3 linked regions of the Styela clava genome follow. The protein of the gene in region 1 purifies or fractionates together with the protein of each later gene. This does not show direct contact. Links are inferred from orthologs where the notes say so. Each region holds a gene or a part of one and is shown in the gene's direction. Other genes may lie near its edges.

The links. The genes of interacting proteins can lie anywhere in the genome.
Region 2: the proteins of serine/threonine-protein kinase PRP4 homolog (region 1) and uncharacterized protein LOC120326115 purify together in Homo sapiens (affinity purification with mass spectrometry; 5 studies listed by BioGRID and IntAct, counting the BioPlex papers as one, with this or other methods). This does not show direct contact. The link is inferred for Styela clava from reciprocal best matches to the Homo sapiens genes PRP4K and PNN.
Region 3: the proteins of serine/threonine-protein kinase PRP4 homolog (region 1) and U4/U6.U5 tri-snRNP-associated protein 1-like purify together in Homo sapiens (affinity purification with mass spectrometry; 3 studies listed by BioGRID and IntAct, with this or other methods). This does not show direct contact. The link is inferred for Styela clava from reciprocal best matches to the Homo sapiens genes PRP4K and SART1.

Annotation. Positions count from the first base shown.
Region 1 is NC_135256.1:9,398,486-9,405,461, reverse strand, and holds the start of serine/threonine-protein kinase PRP4 homolog, read left to right. Parts: upstream 1-3,955; 5' UTR 3,956-4,011; coding exon 4,012-4,483; intron 4,484-5,175; coding exon 5,176-5,407; intron 5,408-5,609; coding exon 5,610-5,726; intron 5,727-6,010; coding exon 6,011-6,112; intron 6,113-6,900; coding exon 6,901-6,976. UniProt on the Homo sapiens protein: Serine/threonine kinase involved in spliceosomal assembly as well as mitosis and signaling regulation. Connects chromatin mediated regulation of transcription and pre-mRNA splicing.
Region 2 is NC_135253.1:385,648-393,597, forward strand, and holds the start of uncharacterized protein LOC120326115, read left to right. Parts: upstream 1-4,887; 5' UTR 4,888-4,974; coding exon 4,975-5,087; intron 5,088-5,700; coding exon 5,701-5,772; intron 5,773-6,046; coding exon 6,047-6,121; intron 6,122-7,950. UniProt on the Homo sapiens protein: Transcriptional activator binding to the E-box 1 core sequence of the E-cadherin promoter gene; the core-binding sequence is 5'CAGGTG-3'. Capable of reversing CTBP1-mediated transcription repression.
Region 3 is NC_135255.1:12,625,925-12,633,725, reverse strand, and holds the start of U4/U6.U5 tri-snRNP-associated protein 1-like, read left to right. Parts: upstream 1-4,738; 5' UTR 4,739-4,748; coding exon 4,749-7,094; 3' UTR 7,095-7,801. Other genes in the region: 40S small subunit processome assembly factor 1-like, read left to right, coding at 2,919-3,623. UniProt on the Homo sapiens protein: Plays a role in mRNA splicing as a component of the U4/U6-U5 tri-snRNP, one of the building blocks of the spliceosome. May also bind to DNA.

The DNA of each region.
Region 1 (6,976 bases):
TTTCTCATAAATTGACTATCGGGCCATGTTTATGCGATAATAAAAATATCTTCCCCCCATACAAACTTTTTCAAACTCGCTGTATTAACACTTTATTATATGTACTACTACTGGTGTTTTGTAAATGTGGGGCCCATAACTGCAAGACACTCATTTTTTGGGGCAAAAGAGGTATTTTGGCCATTTTTCTCATAAATTGACTATCGGGCCATGTTTATGCGATAATAAAAATATCTTCCCCCCATACAAACTTTTTCAAACTCGCTGTATTAACACTTTATTATATGTACTACTACTGGTGTTTTGTAAATGTGGGGCCCATAACTGCAAGACACTCATTTTTTGGTGCAAAAGAGGTCTTTTTGCCATTTCTATCATAAATTGACTATCGGGCCATGTTTATGCGATAATAAAAATATCTTCCCCCCATACAAACTTTTTCAAACTCGCTGTATTAACACTTTATAATATGTACTACTACTGGTCTTGTGTAAATGAGGGGCCCGTAATTGCAAGACACTCATTTTTTGGGGAAAACTAGTTCCTTTTGCCATTTTTTTTCAAAAATTGACTATCGGGCCATGTTTAAGCGATAATAAAAATATCTTCCCCCATACAAACTTTTTCAAACTCGCAGTATTAACACTTTATTATATGTACTACTACTGGTCTTTTGTAAATGTGGGGACCGTAATTACAAGACACTCTTTTTTTGGAGCAAAGAGGTCTTTTTGCCATTTCTATCATAAATTGACAAGCGGGTCATGTTTAAACGAGAATAGAAATATCTTCCCCCCATACAAACTTTTTGAAACTCGTTGTATAAACACTTTATTAAATGTACTACTGTTGTTTATGTATAAATGGAGAGTTATGATTGTAAGACACATCTTTTTGGAGGCAAAGTAGGTCTTTTTACCAATTTTATTAAAAATTGACGACTGGGACAGGTTTAAACGATAGTAAGTATCTCTTCCACCTATCCAATATTTGTCAAACTCGTTGTGTTTACTTCCCATTATAAACACTTATACTTGTCTTTCTTATACTAAGCGGATATATTTGTGAGACACTTATATTTTGGGGAGAACTGTGATTTTTTGGCAATTATTCACAGTTTTTATGATTAATCTGGCAACGCATAAAGCATCAGCTGATTTTGCATCGATGCCTTTTTCGTAAACTCTCGCATCGCTCGATTGAAATCTGAGTTCTGGCAACAGTGATCGGGGCGTTCAAAAACGAGAGAGATGTCTGCTGAGAGATGTCTGCTAGGGTAACTTTGGTTATACTTACCGGTATGCACCCCCTTTGGAAAATTTCAAAAATAGCCTAAATAAATCCCTTTCCTTAAAGAATGCCAAAATATAGGATTAGGACAGGTTAGGGTTGACAAGCAGTCGGTTGATTAACGTTTAGATTAATACGATACAGTAATACAGGTTTCTATCCATGAACTGCCGCTACCTTTACTACTATCTGACTATACCAGCTGCCTAATCCAGTAATCACTAATTTAAGTTAACTTAGTCTATAAAAAAATCTTTTTCGCTCTTTCTGCTCAAGAATTTGGATCAAGTTGATTTCTATAGTCCTGATGCTGATAATCTGTTTCTATCATGTTCCCCCTATTTCAGTATTTGTAAATTACAAAAAAACTTACATTAGATTAGATTAGTTCGTGAAACTCGGAGGGAGGGAGAGAGTTTATTTCTGTATTTGTTTTGTCCACCAGCAAACATATACACACAGACACAACAAAAACATAATTAATAGAAAGCCAAATACTGAAATAGTTCTCGGTACAGACTGGGTGGCAACGATACGACCATGCGGCCATCGTATAGACAGTTACCACTAAATACTGCAATATAAATTTCAATAAACATGAATAAAAAGTGCTTCAGATATCAGGATATAGTTTAACATATCTCAGGTGTCAGGGTGTGTCCAAAAACAACATTAAATTTCCATATAAAGAAAAATAAAATATATTAGTTACATTTAAGTTAAGCGTTAAAAGCTAAATAAAATGCCAGACAAGTTGCACATTTTATCAAGTGGGGCATTGGCCGAATTTGACATTAATATATATTTTTGAGTAAATGGCAGAATTTCAATTGTGTCTGTGTGTGGAATCGATTAATTCAGGGGTGCATGTTCACTAAACACTGTACTTCTAGTTGGCGTGGCAGGAACATAATATTTGCATATGTTATTCCTAACCCACACCTGGTTGCATCATCCAAAAATTATGTCACTACGCTGTCATAGAGCTTGCCAAGGAAAAGCTACAATCGCCTGAAATGGCATCTCTGCCAACGATAACGAACTCGCTAACGCCAGCGAGCTCTCTCATATATCGGGATCTTGATGGCGTTTAGTGAACTAGCCCCACTTCAAGTCTGCTAGTTGTGGAATACACAAAAACATCTTGTGTAAATGTTGAAAGACCTAAGGCAGCATATATACAGATATATAAAGCAGGCCTGCACAACTCAAATTATCACGAGGGCCGCAAGCATAAATCTGAAGGCCCGGCGGGCCGCAAACTTTGCCACATACATATTTCACAAGATGAACTGCAAATCAAAATGATATTGTGAAACAGTTAAATTTAATGAAACACTTTCATTACTGGGGAGCTTTAAAATATGAGGAATCTTATTTTCTTGAGTAAAAACAAGGTGCAGTATTTTTGCATATGAGATGGCAATTACGGTATGTATTTAGTGGTTCATCTACCTTGAAAACTCACCCTTCATTTTCAATATTTCTTTTTTATTAGAATTAGGTATTGCGTGTTGCAGTATAAACTGATTGCAGATAAAAATTATATTCAGGTTCAGTTTTTTAAAATCGTCCCAAATATCTGTATGACAATTTATTTAGTCATAAATACCATTATTAGATATTTCCATTGTAGGCTAGACAAACAATCCATTTAGTAGCAATAGATCTTCCTCTGTTGTACATTTTCGACTGTTAAATTACATTTTTCTACAAAATCTGATCCGATTTATTTGAAATTTTACAGTAAATAGCAATATTTTTTGTGCGAGAATTTCTGCACCATTCATAAATGAAGGAATTGTTTTTCAAGTTCTAAATTCGAATCAAAAGAGAAACTTCAGTTTCATAAACTGCTAGTAAAAAATAATGGGTTATTAATAGGTTGCTAATATGCACTAATGGGTGTGAGATTGTATACCGATATTGTTTTGAGCGTGATTCAGTCTGGATACTGAGATATCGAAATCAGGGTTTCCCAAATTGGGGGGCGAGGGGACGAGAGAGGAATTTTAGAGGTCACGCAGGGCACACCAGTTTCACACAAAGTCTGATATTTATTGAAACTATTGCAAAACATAAATCTCTCGATTTCGAATATGATCGGGGTAGCGGCGCGCTTGCATAACAATGCCGGCTTTGATTGTTAGACACGAGAAGTGGCGTGTTTCTAAATCACCTGTGGGCCGCACAGAAGTATCTAACGGGCCTCATGCGGCCCGCGGGCCGTATGTTGTGCAGGCCTTATATAAAGACATTAAAAAAATCGCTACAGATTAACAAGATAAATTTTGAGGCAAATTGCACAGACATAGTATAGTGGGTGATAATATAATCCAGCAATCTGTCGATTGGACAGAATGAGATGTGTGTCACTTGAGAGGATTTGTAGGAGCGGCGCTCCTACTTATTAAGCGATCCTCGTCAAAAGACCTTCATTCGACAGAGGGCGATATCAATTTATGTAATTTATTACAGCGATCGCAAGATGTTGTACGAGATTTGGGAAAAAACTGAAAATTCTGATTTATAAATTCCATAAAAAATATTTCACGCTGCGTCAGAAGTTATGTCGATCTCGCGTAGATCATTTTTTGCTAACTTCCGAGACTACGTCACTGTTGATTTTGTTTGTGCCAATAAAATCTCTCTCTTAATTTTCAGAATTGAGTTCATATTTAACTTCGAATGTCATACTGGTACTGGTGTCAATAAATAGACATGAAGACGCAGAAATCAAAAATGAAAGAAAGTAGTGATTCTGATTCTTTAGCAGAAGAAATAGCTCCAAAGGTGAAGAAAAGTCATAAACATAAGAAAAAACACAAAAAGAGAGCTTTAGACCATGAAGACCCTGTTGATGGTGTTATAGAAATCAGCGATGATGAAAAATCTTTAAAATCAAAAAAGCATAAACATAAGCATAAAAAAGCAAAGAAACATTCTTCCCGTAAGCGAGAATCATCATCGGAAGCAAGCGATGATGAACAATCGAGTAAAAAGAGAAGAAAAACAAAAAGTTCTGATGAAATTATTGAAGAAAATGGAAAGACTGAACAGAATGCATCTACAACGACTGGTTTTGATGGAGCATTATCAGATTTAGAGCAGCAAAAAGCTTTATTACAGGCTGCTCTCATGAATAATGTAGAAGAAGGAGAGGTTTCTGATGATGTTCAAGCAGATGGAGCAGGTAAATTACATTTTGCAGTAGAGTAATTTAATGTTTTGATCAACTTTTTATCAGTAGATCACACTTCTCCTTTACGAGACAGTCTGGTGGCTCCATATCATCGCAAATCAGTACTGCTCAATATACCGAAAGGACAAGCATTCTAAAATGCCATAAAATAATTTGATTTACAGAACGAAAACAAATTCTACCGTAGTATTCAATAGTTTCTAGCAAAAAACAGTTCACATGAGAGGATTTTGGTCACATGAAGTTTTGCACATGCTGCAATTGATTTATATTATTAACGCAAGAAACATGGCATGGTCTTGCAACTCTCCGCCATGCCAGACATCCTCGTTTCTGAGATAAATAATGTGTTTGTTATAAATATTACAATAAATATTGAAGTCTTGCCGTAGAGCACTCTGCTAAATTTTTTACACTGTTTTGGTTAGATGTTTTATTGTGATTGAACATTTGTCGTGCAGTGTTCAAACCTGTCTTTTCGATGACCATCTTACCATACATTCGACCATCAAACATCCGTTCAGTGATCCATGAATTTGTAGGCGTGTTGTAAATGAATAATCTGTGTTTTTAGTTAATATACACAGCGCAATTGACATTTTCTTGTAGTATTTCATGAATCACAAGCAAAATGATGAAAAACATAGGATTCTCTTTTAAAGCAAAATTGTTGTTTTTGGTAGAAATAGAAGCAAATGGTGAAGAGGAAGCAATACAAGATGATGATGATGAGAAAACTTCTACTAAACCAACAAAAAAGAAGAAAAAGAAAGATAAAAAAGATAAAAAGAAAAAGGAGAAAAAAGAGAAGAAATCAAAATCGCCACCTTCGATTAAAAGGGTTGAGAAACAAGTTGTCTCACCTACCAAACACAGTTCTAATGATGCAAGAGAAACAGAACATTCCAGAGCCAGGTATGAATTGATTTGTTTGGAAATTATTACTTGATTTAAGCTTATTAGTATAGTATGAGTTTCTGCGTATAGTATAGTATCTTGTGATTTTTATCTAGTACAGTTATGACAACTTTGCATCAGGGTATGTGTTACTTTATTACTTCGCATTTCTTCTGTATTCAAGATTCGCAATTCGCATGAGTGTACATATTTTTGTCAGGCATTATGAAGAGAGTCGTGACTCTAGAAATGATCGTTTGCTTGAAAGAAGAGATGATTCTTATGCAAGACGTTCTCATACTCATCACTCAGATAGAGATAGATTACATCGCTCGGGGTAAGTCAGAAATTATTCCAAAATTGGTAAACTTCCCCCTCAAACCCATCCTAGGCACAAGAAATTTATAAACAGGAAAATATCTACTGGTAACAGTTCCAAATAAGCCTCATTTTAATAAGCTATGATTCTATTTCTGACAGTTTCTCTGTAACCATTTCCATGAACATTTTTACTTCAAAGTTTCCCATTTATAAGATGTATGCATTCATATACATATAAATAGTGTGTTGAACTTGCCAAAACAAAAAAAAAATAAACATTTATCTCACTTTTTATTTTAGTGAAACTCGCAGAAGATCGCGTAGTAGATCGAGGGATAAAAGAGATTATCAACATTCGTCATCAAGTAGACCTAGCCATTCGTCATCAAGAAGAAGGTCAAGGTTAGAGCAATAAAATAGTTCCCTGTCATTCATTAATAACCTGTCAGGTTGTGCGCCATTTAGGTACACATACTTCGGGAGCTCCGAATTAAGGATATTAAAAACAATGTCATGGTACTTCAATATCTAAATAATTTAAATTTTTGTTTTTTCGACGCTTATTCATATTTTTTGCTCCGAACAAGCCTTGTACAATCATATACTGATGTTGTATAATATGTAATGAGCTACTATTTTTGGAATCTTAATTCGGCATCACCTATCCAATTTATTATACTCTGGGTGAAGGGGTGGTAATGGAATTTGAACCACTATGAGTGTATTAGAATCAACATAGTTAGGTCTAGCACTTTAACAACCACTCGGTCATCAATCCCTAGCCTATCTATTTAAATTCACGACAGATTGACGTCACATTTTATTATGTTGTGACCAATTCTTTCAATAGGAATTGTCACATTATTTTATATAAACAGTAATTATGTACTTGCTAATATTATTTTGGACGAATATTACCGGTAACTGATTATTCTTTTTTTTCTTCACACTTTATTTTCATTTTTTAGTTGACATGAAAAATTGTCCAAAATAAGTGCAAATGACTGTCTAGTTTTATGGGACATGTGTGTATCCTTCATATTGGTGGCTAACATCGAACAGATCCACTAACTTTGATTCAATAAATGGCCATGTCTTCAATTTAATCAATCAAAATTCCCAAGTACTGCTCATCTAAGGAAAGGATATAAAGAATACATTGCGAAAATTAAACAAATTTAATTTTTCAGGTCACGTCATCGCTCCCGTAGTAGAGACAGGCCCATGCGAAGATCTCGATCTAGAGATAGAGATGGAAGGAGACGA
Region 2 (7,950 bases), on another chromosome or scaffold:
TTAATTTAAATGAAATTCTTTTGGAAAATTTTCTTCTCAAATGCAATTACAAAATGTTTCAATATATCACGTCAAAACAAATATGGCATATTCTGTATTGTATTGCTCTTCAAACCAGAAATTCTTCTACTCTTGTGAACAAAGTTTCATGTTTTCAGATTACAGATCCATCTCAAGGGAGTGTCACTATTTATGACCCTGTTGGCCATGAAGAGAGTTATGCTGAAACGCTGATGGAGAATTGGAGGTTTGTGGTTTTCTGCTTGACTAAATGATTATTGGCTTGTAAACACTCACAGATTCATTTTAAATTATCATGCCCTTATTGAGTTCAACGATAGAACATCAATGTTTTAGTCATGCATTCAAATCTCTACTAGTGTTATCTGAATTTTAAAACATCAAAAACAGATTACCGAAACTGTATGGATCGTACGAGTTTTTTGCACTGAGATTGCAAGCTAGGTATGAAAGCTCATATTAGCAAGAATATGCAGTTCTTAGAACACTTCAAAAAAAAAGTTAAGGATCTAGAAATGAAATTGTTCCTATGTGTTGTGGGACTAATCAGGGCTGTTCTTTTTTTTACGTTTTCTCCCAGGAAATTTTGGAAATACCATGGAGGTGACAAAAGAGATTGGAGACTGTTAACAAACAAGCATAGTGAACAAGAAGATGGGTTTAATTGTGGAATTTTGGTTGTGAAGGTACATCGGGTCCAATTTGTTTTTATAGTGGTATTATTAAACTGATAAGGATGCACACAGGCTCATTACGGTAGATCTTTAAATTTTCATTTATATTTGTGAGTAAACATTTACTACTAGTAGTACTTTATATTGATACCACCACCATTCAACTGGAACCTTATTTTTAAATCATCTCATTGGTGCAAATCTATAGAAATATGAGTTGTTTTATTTTTTTACATTCTAGGCTGCCGAAGCAATCTTAACAGGTTGTACAACGGATTTCAATCATTCGACAGGCATCTGTAAAGTCTACAGAATCCATTTTGGAGACCTTCTGTTGGAAGCCACAGGTGCATTATTATTTTATTAACTAGGTCTAAGCATAAGTCATTTTTATTCAAGTGTGGAGAGCAGTGCTGGAAGTCGAGTAACAACTAGCACCATAACATCTATGCGGTCACGGATATGTTGGTAGCACACAGCTATATTTTGATGATATTTAGAACTTTCTTTTGAACATGGCTGAGTGGGTTATAAAACCAGAGCCCAGAGCTTTAATTTGATGATATTGAAAAATGGAATGGAAAAGGAAGTTAATTAAGTATCGGATTGAGGTCAATATTGATCGTGTATGCAAAGAAATTTTACTCATTTTTGCGGTTGGTTAGAATCTGAGGAGGAATATACATGAACATGACTATATTAGTTAGGTATTTGCAATCCTACATTTGTTTTCCTTCATCTTTTAGATGTTGATGAGCTGGCACACTTTTGTGTGGGCTGTAATGGCAGGACTGCCCCTGATGGTGGCACACTTTGGGTAAGGTCAAACATTTTCCTTATGGATGCAGTTTTGATGGATAAAGTAAAGTAATAATTTTGTTGTAGGTCGAATGTGATGGATGCGAAAGGTGGTGCCACCAATATTGCGCAGATTTTGCGGGTAACGAAGAGTTTTTCTGTGAACACTGCACATAAAACTTAGTTTTTGTGTAATTTTCTTTAATAAAATTTATTAACATGCACAATGTCATACTTCTTTTTTGGAATTTGAAGTTCGCTAGTTGAGGTTCCTCATCTGCCTGTAAATATTATAGAAATATTCGAGAATTGTCTTAACAAATAGTTGACATATCTAAGTGGCTTTGTCATAAAAGGATTCCAGTGTCAACGATGGAGATAGTGAGTGTGCAAGAAGCTGTAGGGGCCAACTGTGGTACGCAATCAGCTTTAAATTATTGCAACAACAAACCCTTATGTTGGGTAATTTATGAGAGCATTACCCTCTCTCTTTTTTATCGCATGCAATCCATTTATTGTTTTCACGGATTGCCCTCACCCGCCACTACACCCCTAAAACGAGAGAGACTGGCATGTTTTCATTTTAAGTTAAAAGTTATCTGTCTGTATTGGGAAATCAGAAACTAAGATAAAATAATATGTTGTTACTGCATATAATTAATGCAACTGGTTATAATTTGTCCCTGAAAAAATGGATGTAGTGCCACATTATAAAATACTTCCATTCCCGTTTTCTTACAAAGAGTGGCTTTTTCGGGGTAAAGGAAAAATTCAAGTGGTACCGGTTCGTAGAAGGTTGAGAACCCCTACTGTAGATGAATCGCCTAGCAGAGTAAATGCAACTTTAATCAAACCCAACCGACACAATTTTACTCTGGTAGTACTGCGATCTAATTTGAATCAATATGACTAAAAAAGACACAGCGCAAATGATATACAACATTATTTATTGCCAGAGGAAGTAATTGCACCTTACTTCCAACCAGCCATTACTTCCTGACCAGAGTTGGATCAATTACACTAATTCAGTTCAATAACAAATACAACTACTCCCTTAAATGTTTCAATTACATTACAATTACTCCGTGCAAAAAATATCAAACTGCATTTACAATTATAACATTTTGGTTCGTATTTACATTTTCCCTTGCTCAAGAACTGTTGGATTGCACTTGATGAAGATTAGGCTGCGAAAAGTTTCTGAACCCAATAAATTTCTTCATGCTGTATAAAAGTTATCCGCAATTGAAAAAACTCTTTCTGACGGGGCTGATGTTGCTGTAATTCAGCGTGGGAAATTTTTCTGATTTCTTCTTCCAATACATTAATTGGTCTTCATCAAATTGCAAAATTTCTTCCCCCAAATAGCTATTTACATCACTTTCTGATTTTCTTGGTCCTTTCCTCTATTTATAGATATAGATGGGAGAACATCTCTTCAAGTGCGTTTGATGAAGCCTTCTTTGAAGTTGTTACAGCCTGCCTCAGTGCTGCTCAAAGATTTAAAAAACTTTGACAATGGTGCAAGAAGTGGTTCAACACATGTTTCGGAAGAGTTTGTTTGATGTTCATCCATTTTCAAAATACTAAGATTTAGTCTAATTGAAAGTGTAATTGAGCCAGAATTTTAGCAAATTACAGTTACGATTACACAGAATGAAAATGCCTCCATTCAGTCATTACATTACAATTACATAAAAAACTGTAAATAATACCATCAGTTACAAATGATCCAACTCTGCTTCCAACTGCACCCTACCGGTACCGTACTTCAAAGCAATATACACCCAAGGATGACTTCATTTGTAACGCCAAAACAATTCCCTATTACTCTTATTACAAAACAACAAACAACACTGAATGCTAATCTCGCTTCTTCAGTTGATGGCAGCAACCAACTTGTCGCCGCGCTCCCCGTTATCCCGCCGTGGTAATGTGCAATTAACCACAAGGTTCCCCACTATCTTCCACTGTTCATGGCGAGAAATCTTTCGCTACCACAGGTTATTCCTACCTGCCGTAACCGCGGCAGCTCCTGCCGTGGTTACGGCAGCTCTTGCCGTGGTTACGGCAGCGTAACTACGGTTCATGGCAGTATAATTTCACCTGCCGTGGTTTTCAATTTGCTGCCGTGGTACCCCGCCTCACGCCATTGTTTGTGGCAGCTTGAAAGTTAGCCGCCGTGGTTTGGTCATTGTGGCCATGGTTTGGAGATTCCGCCATGGTTTTGCGGCAGCTTCAGATGCCGCGAAATACTTAAAACTGCACTTGCCTCTTCGGCATCGTCGAGCGTCAACGATGCCATGATCTCATTGATGATACCTACGATATCTGTCTTATTGCAGAATTGATAAAGTGCTCAACCGCATGCACTTCTATACTTAACTGTTTGTGATACCCGCACCTTTTCTGCCTCGTATATCAGCACAATACATACCTTACATACTGCATCTATCATCCATTTACTTGTCGTTAACTCGTATAAACCTCTTTTTAGTATAAGCATCTTTTCTCTTCAAACCGGTACCGGTAAGTCGTTGGTTTATTTTTTACCGGTACGGTAGTTGTTCCCGGAAAGTGTTGACGCGGCAGCGAGCCGTCACCGGTATTTTAATTTCGGAATCCATCTACGGAAACGGGGTCTCGTGTCAGCGTGTAGTGTCGTAACTCAAATCAGCAAGTACTTTCGGTGGGCAGAGCATTGGTACCGGTACCGGTAACGATTTTTTGCAGATAATAATCCTAACCCCAACCTGACTACCGTACCGGTACGCCATCCAAAAGCATGTCACTTTATTACTGTATTATGCGGACCCTAGGTTATGCAGTTATTGTACCAACATGCTGACATGCCTATTTCAGTACCGTAATTTAGTATAACTAAAATGATATTATGAGCAAAATCACAGGAGACCGTAGCGTTATTTTTAATAAAATATGATTATAGTCTACATTCTACATATCGGTACAGGCCTAGTTGGAATTGATGCTATTTCCAGGGAACAGCAAACTGAAAAATGTAACGTTATCCGCGGCGGTGTGGCTCAACGGGCTAAGCGTTAGGAATACGCTCGCCACCGCACCTCTAATTACTCTGCGTGGGTTCGCAGGTTCGAATCCCATGCAGGGATGGTTATGTGCGAGAGGATTGCTGGACTCCTCGCCGTCGTTGGGTGGTTCACGTAACCGCTGGTCGGTTACGGCTTCCTCCACCACCAAGTCCATGCTTCCGAAAAACAAACAATACAGTAAAAACTAATCCCATACCCGACTTGGAATGGTAACCGGACGAGAGGCCGTGGTTCGCCATATGGATAAGCCGTCTTATCGGCTTTCCTCTCCCCCGGGATAAATATGTAAATCCTATCCTATCCTATCCACCTTTCTTCCACTTCTGTACTTTATGTATTTAACAGTTTCAGCTTTTTAGTGGCAACTGACTAGGAAATACAGGATTCTCATCACCTCGCATAGTAGCATAATGTCTCTGGCACTGAATAGTTTGAAAGAGCAGATTGAAAAAGCAAAAGAAAACCTGAAAAGCGTAGATGAAAACATCAAAAAAATAACAGGAAGGGACCCAAATGAACCAAGGTAAAATTAGTGTTTCGAATCTCATTCTTGTGGTTATCACTGTATCATTATTATTCTGGATTATTTGTTACCGGTATGTGTCAGTATTGGTACGTTGTTGTTTTCTTGGGTGGGTGGGCAAATAATGAAAATAAGCCTAGTGCTGTAGTGTTTATTCAAATTTCCATTAGGTAGAATGGTAGGATAAAATTAAATTAAATTTGCTGCCTTGGGACCAGGAGTATAAAACTCAGTAAACCAATTGATTTGCACTTGCTAGGTTTAGGGTCGAAAAAATATATTCCTATTCTACCGCTGTACTATCGCTGTATTGTCTATCCATTCTGCCATTTGCATTGTGAGTGTGTTTTTTTTCACTCTGTCACGTGCAAACATGAGCAAACTGAATAAAAGCAAAATTACATTATTTTAAAATCATCACCCACATGAACAAGTTTTTACTTCATCATCAGTCATTTGGTGTTTTATAATAAAGTACGGAATACACAGCACCATGACAAATCACTATATGTCATCAGTTCAAGCTTCATCGGCTCTTTAGTTAGAAAGTTGTTAAATGATACTAAAGTTGAATAGGCCATATAATATCAATGTTGTTGCATGATGATTTCAGACCAAATATTGAAAATCGAAGACTATCTGGTGGTGCATCTCGCAACAGAGAGACTGGAAACATTTTAGGACGGTGAGTGTTTTATCCTCGTTATTTTCAAAGCATTCAATTTTAGAGCAATCATCTTTGAAAGAAGGCAACTGTATATAGGACATGACATTAATCATCATGGAAAGTAACAAGATGTCAATATGCCAGGATGGTGAATTATGATCTCACTTGTCAAATCACCAAGTTAGAGCCTAAAATAAGTTCAATTACACGATGAGTGATGGTTCTTCTTTTGAAGTGAAATTATTTTAATTGAGAAATGTATGTCAATGTATAAATTAATCTGTACTTGCAGACGAGAAAGAGATGTTCAAACTTCAAAGATACAGGATTCAGAGCCTCCAAGAAAGAAACTAGCTGTGTTCAGCAGGTATTGGTGGATGTCCTCGTATGTCTAGAATAGTAGTCTACTCGTCAACTGTACTCCCAAGTTTTTGTTATCTGCTTGGCGTAGTACCCTTTTTGTAGCAAACTGCTCATTCCTAACTGCACTCGAATGAAACTTGAAATGAGGAGAGGGTTGTTAATTGAGGAAATGTTATTCGGTTTTTAAATTTTCCTAGCATAATATTTGAGGACAATATTCCTGTTGTTGATGTGGAGGTCTGGTGAACTTCTTGAATCACGGTCAGATTTGGCACAAAAGGGCAAAGGCAAAAATTCCAAAACTACGACAAAGTCTGTCGTCCGAATGACTACAAAATCTACAATATACTTTTATCTAACAACTTATTTTTCAATCCCATAAAAATTATGAAAAGAAATTTGCTTGACTGATCGGGGACACATTTACATTATTTGGACGGGCATTCAAATTAAGGTTATACTTCATTTTGTACAACTTGCTGATGAAATCCAGGAGTAAAGTTTGCATTAGACCAGTGGTTCCCAAACTTTTTGTACCATCGCCCCCCTACAGTAGTTTATACAAGTTCATCGCCCCCCGGCACTGCGAAAAAAAATGTAAAGTCTGAAACGAATATATTACAGACCGAATAACGAGACAAATCATAGTTTATAGTATTTTTTAATGAGATGGATGAGCTTGGTGTTCTTCAGCGAGTTTTTTATAATATCTAAAATTACCTGTTTACTGAAGGAAAGGCGATTTCGTTGTTTTGATAGCAATAGTAGCACAGATGAAAACCCCTTTTGTAATGGTTTGTCAAATTTTGATAAAGATTTTCTTTAAGATACACTCTTACAAAAATTAGGCAGTGATGAATCCCTCGAATAGAATATGAATTTTATTTCATTATTGCATTGCAATATATTCTAATATTTACTGCGCTATTGAACCCCTGCACTCAGCATCAACTTTTCTGCATGTTTCCAATTGTCTAATTATAATTGAATTGAAGGCTCGTTAAACGAGAAGCTGTTTAATATAATTTTAAGAATATAATAAAATTTTGTCTAATCGTGCCTCACGATAAATTCTGTTACACAAGAAAATGTAATTTACTCCTCGAGCGTAGATTGTAAATGAAATTAATTCATTGCCAAAACCGCCGTTTGGATGTTTCCCCGGGCATAGACTTCCTTATTTACTTCGTGACATTGGCCTTTCAGCAAGATGCAAAAATAAACGGAACAATGCCCCCTTTTGCATCCGCTCAGACACATTTCTCACTCAGACAGATTTTCAGGCGTGGTCGTGAAAATTACCGGTACCTCATTTTCGCGTTTCTGAATTATATTTGTTAGTTTTTAGTTATTTTTCGGAAATTTAAATATAAATAATTTAAGTCAATGATCACTTTGTCTTCCCAGAAGTTTCAGTTTATTTACAGTAGGCAAAAATTTGGTGTAGAAATATCTTTGATAGACTAGGCTAAAATTCTTTACTGGTACTTTTAAAAAACAGATTGTTGAATGGTATGAATTAGAATGATAGTTTGAAACAAATACCCTGTTTTACAGGCAACAACTCGCAAAACCACTCTTAAAATACGCACCGAAAATTTTAAAATGGTAAAGTATAGGAAAAATTTCCCGGGGTCGAAGGTCGGGGAACGGTCCATTCAGTGGAGCGTCCCGTGACTGATTATTTTACTTCGGCGGCTGTATTTTGCCGACCACTGGGATACGGAAACGACTGTATCTTACTGCGAAGACGAGTCCAGCAATCCTTTCGCGTGTGATAATCGCCTACGTGATTCAAACATACGAAGAGTACAGTAATCAAGTGCACGATGC
Region 3 (7,801 bases), on another chromosome or scaffold:
AAGTAAATCGAGATGGCCTATCTAGAATGTGCGCAACCGCAGTAGTATATATTTACGGCGCAACGCATGCTCGTATTTTTGAGATGGTGAACAAGAGGTCACGAGTGCTAAAATCCTCTAGGGTAGGAACCACTGATATATAACAAAAAATTAGGTTACTTATTATAAGTTTCCGATTGCGCTAATTGAAATGTTCAATAATATGAGGTTCGGCAGAAGAATGCAGCAGTGAACACCCCCCCCCCCTATAGGGGGTGAACACACCCCCTAAAATTTCAGTTCTGAAGGAATACAACATTATGCGCCATTATGATCAGTTGACGCGCGTATTTCGAAATTTAATTCATCGCTTGATTCGTACAAAAGTCAAACGATCATGTTCAAAAAATGTGAAATGTGTAACAAAACAAGCCATAAGTAGCCATTCATACGATGCCATATGCTAGATGAGCAGGTAACTTCATTAGTCACTATAAGTCGTAAATTACTTGCTGAAAGCCGGGCTTGTTATTTATTCCTCGGGAATTCTATCAGCTAAATATTATAATTATTAATTTCATTACATAACAAACTGCGATGCTAGATGTATCTAAAATCAAGCTTAGAACCTATTTTGGTGCCTATTTCTCAAAATTTTCAGCCGTGAACCCCAGCCGTGTCGTCGCGCACTTTTCGCTCGCCTTTTCTGGCCCTACATTTTTATTCTGCTGTGTATTTTGGCTCGCCGTCAATCAACTTGGGAGCCCCCTCATGTACATTGTTTCTTAAATACATACCAATTTTTTGAAAGTACAAATAGTTTCATCGCAATAGCAAATTATTTTCCACCCCCTAAACTTCGAAACACCCCCCCCCCCCTAAAATGAAAAGCTGGGGAACATACTGGCTTGCAGAATAGCCCAGGTGTTCGGAAGGCTTGCAAATGTTTAGAACCACTGCATAGCACAACCCACACTCATAAAGTCACTACAAAACGAAATGACTTTTATGTATCCACTTGTGTATACTCACGAAACATAAGCTGTTAAAGTTTTACGTACTCAGCTTGATCTTTTACATCGATTTTTGTCTATTTTCTATATCCAGGGCTGTGGATTTTTTTACTATAATAAAAACATCACATTTATATAAACACAATATTACGTAAATATCATTGCACTTAAAAAACGAGCTTTTTGTAAATTTCCACCTCTTCATCATGCGGATTAACAGTTTACCATTTTTAGTTGCAATACTTTTTTCACAGTTAATAATATTTTTATCGTATATAAAATTTGACAAAATAAAAACCCTCCATGACGAAGTTAACATATGTATATATGGAATAATTGTTACATAATAAAACACAATATGTGGATTCGGGATCGGATATTTTTTGCCATTAATGGAGTTGAAACCGGAACAGAAATTTCACAACCCTCGGTGTCTCAGTTCAGATTTCCATAAACAGATACATGGCGGTCAGAATCAACATTTTCAACATAAACTGAAAAACACTAAATTGCTTTCACTACTGATCTGGACTGAGAGGCGTGGGTCAATTTTCGTGAATATTTTTTTTATATTTCATCACCAAATGCACACCGGTGCTGATCACAGAGGGATTCAGGACTCCGAGCAGCATGACTCCGTTTTTTTGACAAGCAGGAGTGCAAATCAAAATGACTATAGGCTAGTCACTTTGGTGCAGATAAATATATTTCAGTTTTTTGTGTGAATGACAGTTCATCGTGAGCGAAACTAAATCCTAAAATGTGATGTTGTAAATTTTATTGTTTTGTCTCAAGCTCAAATACACGTTACCACAACCTAATGTAGACGGTGACACTGTGTAGGTGAACGGCTGATTGATTGTCACGATTGTAGCTGTAGTAGGTACCTACCACCAGGCTACGGATTGTGTAGAACAGTGGTTCTCGAACTTTTTGAAAAATAATGCATAACGGTTCCCTTTCAATTTTTCTGATGACTCGTGGTCCACCAAAGAAATTATAACAACGCAGTATATCAAGCATTCATCTATTGAATGACATTAAGAGTGTTCAATGAGATGTGTGCGCCTGCTCAGCTCCCACTAGTTAGTCTACCTTGGGTTCTGTTTTGGATAATGCAACTCTCATATCTTGTTTTAATAGTGAGTAACATAGAAAAAGATGCCCGCACATTCGTAAGTTGTTGCAAATGGAATGAAGCAGTTTTAGTGACATCGGGATTGGACGGTCCAACTATGGTCTTTTTTTCCTCCAGAACTATCACAGCAAAACCAAATTTCACATATGAATTGTTATATCTAAATTTATTTTTTATGGCGGGCCGCGGGTCTTATTTTTAATCAGATGCGCGCGCCTTCCATAAACCACACACTCCGATTTACGGTACTTGCCACTTTCCCCAACATTTGTTACGTAACACAGTAATAATGTCTTTGTTAGAGCGTGTCATGCTTTGTAGAAACACTGTAAAAGCAAGACATCAAAACTTTACTTCAGATCAAAGTGCTTCTGTGCCGAGATTAACGCTGTCTCGCGGTCTCCCTAAAATCGCTTCACGGACCCCTAAGCGACCGCGGACCCCAGTTTGAAAACGAATGGTGTAAAAGGACTAGGGATAGCTGAATACATACTTCAGTATGGGGGCCCGCTGCTCAGTACAGTGCTCTGCACGGGAGGCGGACAGCTCAACTACAGGACTACGGTACTTTCTAGTGCAACGCTTCAAGAGGGCAGTAGGGTACCTGTATGTCGCAGTGGTGTAAATTTCGATTTTTAAAGGGCTCCAGTGGCATGGAAACACACAAATTTATGTGCACAAGTGACATACAGACAAATTTTGAAATCAATTTATAACAAAAATGTATCATCTAATTTCATATCATTTACGGTACTGTTTCTCTTATTTTTCAGGCTTGAATCGCGAAAATGACTAAACGTAGGCGCCATAAGATGGAAATAAAGGACAAAGTGTCCATGAAGGAAGCAGATAATGATAAAATTTTAAGTATTTTGGATAAATATGCTTCAGAATTTTTAGGTGAAACACAGCCTAAAGAAACACAACCCAATACCCCCATAATTCCATCCACGGTGATGACGAAAGAGGAAAATGATAATAAATTAAAAAAGGAAGTTGAAATTGTCATATTTAAAAGTAAAAAAACTAAAAATGAAGAACCGGAAATAAAAAAAGCATCACCAACTATTGTTGGTACAGACTCACAGTTCAATATTCCAAAGTCTAAATATACAAATGAAAGACTAAATTCTTCGGAAGTTTTAGAAAAATTAAAATTCAGCGTTGGCTCGTTTGGAATGAAGGCATTTTCGAAAGAAGAACAGAGAGAACATGAAAGAAAAAGAGCAATAAAACTTGGAGCAAAACCGACAAAACGGAAATATGTTAATTATAAAATTCTCATGGAAGAACAAAAAAGATTGAAACAAGATACAAGTTCTGGCAATAATATATTGTCGAACAATAGAACCGAATATAAAGAAAAGACGAGTGGCATGCCGAAATTCTGGAAACAAGGCGATAAAAGTTTGAATCCGCAAATTGGAAAATATAAGGATGGAGTTTTAAAACTTTCATCAAAAGATATTAAATCTGTAAACAGGCGCCGATAATAAATTCTGCTTATTTTGATATTTCCCATTGACTTGATGCATTACATTTTAAACCAATTCTCAGATATAGATCATGAAAGTCATTTCCAATAGAGCACAGTCTCCTGATGCCAAGATCTGTCTATATTTGGTTCAATAAAACTAACACTCTATTTGTCTCTGTAACGAGGGTGTCTGGTACGGCGGTAATTTGCGCCATGCTTGTCTCGATAATAATTTTACGTGTGTCTGCCATCATGTGACCAAAATATTTCTGTCAACATTTTTTTGCTAAAAACTCTTGAATCCTACAGTAAAATTTTTTTTTTTTGGTAAATTGTATTATTTTTGGGAATCCAATGGTCAATGGTGACATTTTCAGATTGTGTATCCTTCAGTTTATTTGCACAGTGCCAGTTTGGCGATATGGAGGCCCAGACTGTCTCATAAAGGAGCGGTTTGCATTCACTGGTATAATTGATGTCTTCTAATGTTGGGGTTATTCTTGAAATTGGAGAACTGTACCATACTGCATTTCTATTGATACTTTTGCAAGTTTGAGGAATGTGTAGTTGATCAGTGAACTAACATATAATTATACTCTTTTACAAGTGTAGTATACAAAAATGAATCAACGTGGAACGATTAATGTTATTCCAATGATTTTCATTTGTATTGGTTTCATACAAAAACACTGTATATTATCATGTTTAACTTTGGACCAAATGAGTTGAACTAGCATCTATTTGTTGTAATGTCAATAAATTCTCAGATTTTCAAGTATAAAAAAAGGAAATAAATTAATGCATGGAACGAGACGGCAAGTTTTGTGAATGGTTATTTCACAATTTTAAAGTATATCAATAATATTGAAATTGAATATTCATTCATTTTGATGGAAACTTCGCCCAACAAAATGATATCATCGATTTGAGACCTGTTGCCGAATATAACAATTTCATGCGAATGTTAAAAACTTTGTTGGGCATATTAAAAAAAAATGCATTGTAATACTGTTGAATTTGGTACGTCATTGATGTATGTATTACATTTTTGATTTACTATCCATATGTGGCCTAGCCTTAATTGAATAAACGAACTGTTACTTTAATATTTACAGGTTAATTCTTAATTATAATAAATACGATGGGATCATCTAAAAAGCATAAGAAAGACCATAAACATCGAAAGCACAAGCGTTCAAGTCCTGCATATGATGATGAAGAGAGAGATGAAAGTCATAGTCCAGAAGAAAAAAAAAGAAGACGTCATGACGATGTAGAAACAGAAAAATCATATTCTAAACAAAAAAAACATAAGAAAAAACACAAGAAACAAAGTGAACGAGATCGAGATTCTGAATCCCCCCAAAAGTTGGAATCTGAACGTAATGGTAAGTCAAGACAACATCATGCTGAACCCACTCCAACATCAGCTAATGGCGAAGGTGACTCACTCAGTATTGAAGAAACAAATAAGTTGAGGTTAAAACTGGGACTCAAACCTCTCGACGTCGGTGGATCTTCCGGTAATGCAACCGAATCAAAGAAAGAAGAATTTGTTCATGCTCCTGCTGAAGATTTGTGGGAAAAGAAAAAACAGGATGATATTAGAGAAAAACTACGAGCCATTAAAGAAAAAAGAAACTTAAACAAAAAAATGGGGAAAATCAAGACTTTGGGAGAAGAAAATGAAGATGAAAATGATGCGGTATCTTGGGTAGAAAGAAGTAGAAAAATGGAAAAACAAAAAAAGGTGGCTGAAAAACGAGAACAAGAAATGGCTAAAATGGATGCAGAATTTGGTATTGGTGGTTTAATAGACAATGAATTTGCCGATGTAAAGAAAGACTCATACACATCTCGTGATTTGCAAGGCATTACTGTAAAACACTCCTTAGAAATGTTCAAAGAAGGAAGATCAGAAATTTTGACTCTCGAAGATAAAAATATACTTGAAGAAGATAAGGATGATGTTCTTGTTGGTGTAAACTTGGTTGATACTGAAAAAGCAAAACGAAATTTGGACGTGAAGTCCAAAGGTTCTGGATACAAAGCTTATGATGAGGAAGAGGTTGATGAAATGGGATTTTTTAAACAAAAGTCTATGCTTTCGAAATATGATGAAGAAATTGAAGGAATCAAGCAAGAGAAATTTACTATCGGTAATTATGGAAAAGTTGATACGACTTGGGAACAACAAAAAATGATGATGAAAAATGAAATTAAAGCTAAAGGAGTCAGCTTAGCACTCCCTCAACTCAAAATTGCATCTGAATATTTGACTGAAGAGGAAATGACAAAGTTCAAAAAACGAAAAAAGAAAGTGCGAAAAGTAAGAAAACGTGATCTAAAACCAGACGATCTACAACCTCTACCGGGTAGTTCAACATCATCTGATTTTGGTTCTAGAAGTCGAAATCAACGAGGAAATATACCTGGATGGGATGAAGGTATTGAATCTGCAAAAGTGGATGACACAAGTATAACATCTACAACTTTAATGAATTCGAAGAAAAATGTCATTTTTGACGAGGATGATGCCAGTAATGAACTTCAAAAAGCATTGGACAAAGCAAGACGGGCAAAACAGGTTAAATCAAACATGGTTACTGAGGATGTCGGTGCCAGTAAAGTCGTCGAACATTTAGACCTTTTAAATAAAGTTTCATTTGAAAATCCAATGGCCAATTATTCTACAACTATATCTTTAAATTCAACTGATGAATTTTGTCGTCAGCTCGGAACCGCCTCAGATTTGAATGTTATTAAAGAAGTGCCTATGGAAGAGACTTCCATGGACGACAGCGTTGATATGGACGTGGAAGATGAAGAAGAAGAAGAAGTTACGTCAGGATGGAATTTTGTGAACGATAAAGCCAAAGTTAAGCCAGTTACACAGGCAGAACCTGTCGATGATAGACATGCACCTATTGAAGCCGAGCCTCTTGCTGTAGGCGGCTTAGCCGGTGCACTAAAACTAGCCACGAGAAAGGGTTACCTGATGGAAGAAAAACCAAAAAGCTCAGTCACAATAACTAGTAAAAATATTGACCTGCTTTCTGCAAACTATTCCATTGAAGACAAAAACGCAGTTGATCATTTGGATAAATACGCTCACGAAAAATACTCGAAAGACCGTAGTAATCGCTACGATCGTGGAATTGTAATGGATTTTGAAGAAAAGAAAAATTATAAACCTAAAGTAACTATCGAGTATGTTGATGAAGGAGGTCGATTAATGAATCCAAAAGAAGCTTTCAGAAAATTATCTCACAGGTTTCACGGCAAAGGATCGGGTAAAATGAAACTCGAAAAACGACAAAAAAAGAAAGGAGAAGAAGATATGATGTTGAAAATGAGTTCGACTGATACACCACTTAACACAGTAGCAATGATGAAAGAAAAATTACAAAGCGAAGCAAGTCCTTATATTGTTCTAAGTGGAGCTGGTAAAACATTGCAAGCTGGTGGTGGAGGGCTGAAGAAATGATTAGTATTATAATTGTGAGACATATGAAAAATGAAATCAATTTTCATCGATGCAAATCAATATTTTTGTGTTGTTGTCGGGACATTCTGTTGAGCCGTAAATCATTGCAGCTTCCAATACCTATTACAAAACACTTGCAGGGGTACCATAAACTTTGTCATTCTGATTATCTTATGCCTTCTTTGTAGCAGTTGATTGGCAGATCATATTATGAAAATCTTTTGATGTTATTTTGGGCCATATCATTTTAAATGCCTAAATTATTGTTAACATGCCCACAACAACTCTTGTTTTGATAACATTAGAAATGTACTCCCTGCTAGAAACTGCCCTGACTTGACTTGATTTATATGTTAAAAATGAAAATTACCATGTGATCCGCTGCTTATGTTGGGTGTTTTGCATTAGGATATTCTTTTGTCAGTGGTTGTTATCGGACATAATATGATAATATTTTAATTATTTTTAAACCTGCTATTCTGTTCTAAATTTCTCGCCTCAATCAACAAGATTGAATTTTGTATGGGTTATAAAGATTATTATTTGGTGATGGTGAATAGACACTGATAAGTTATTTTAGAAATGTTGTATAGATATTTGTTGTAAATTTTTCAAATTTCATAGGAAAGTAATACCAGAAGTACTAACTGTACAGGTATCTCAATCTAGTTTGATAGCACATAAGAAGACTCATTACCAGGGCTGGG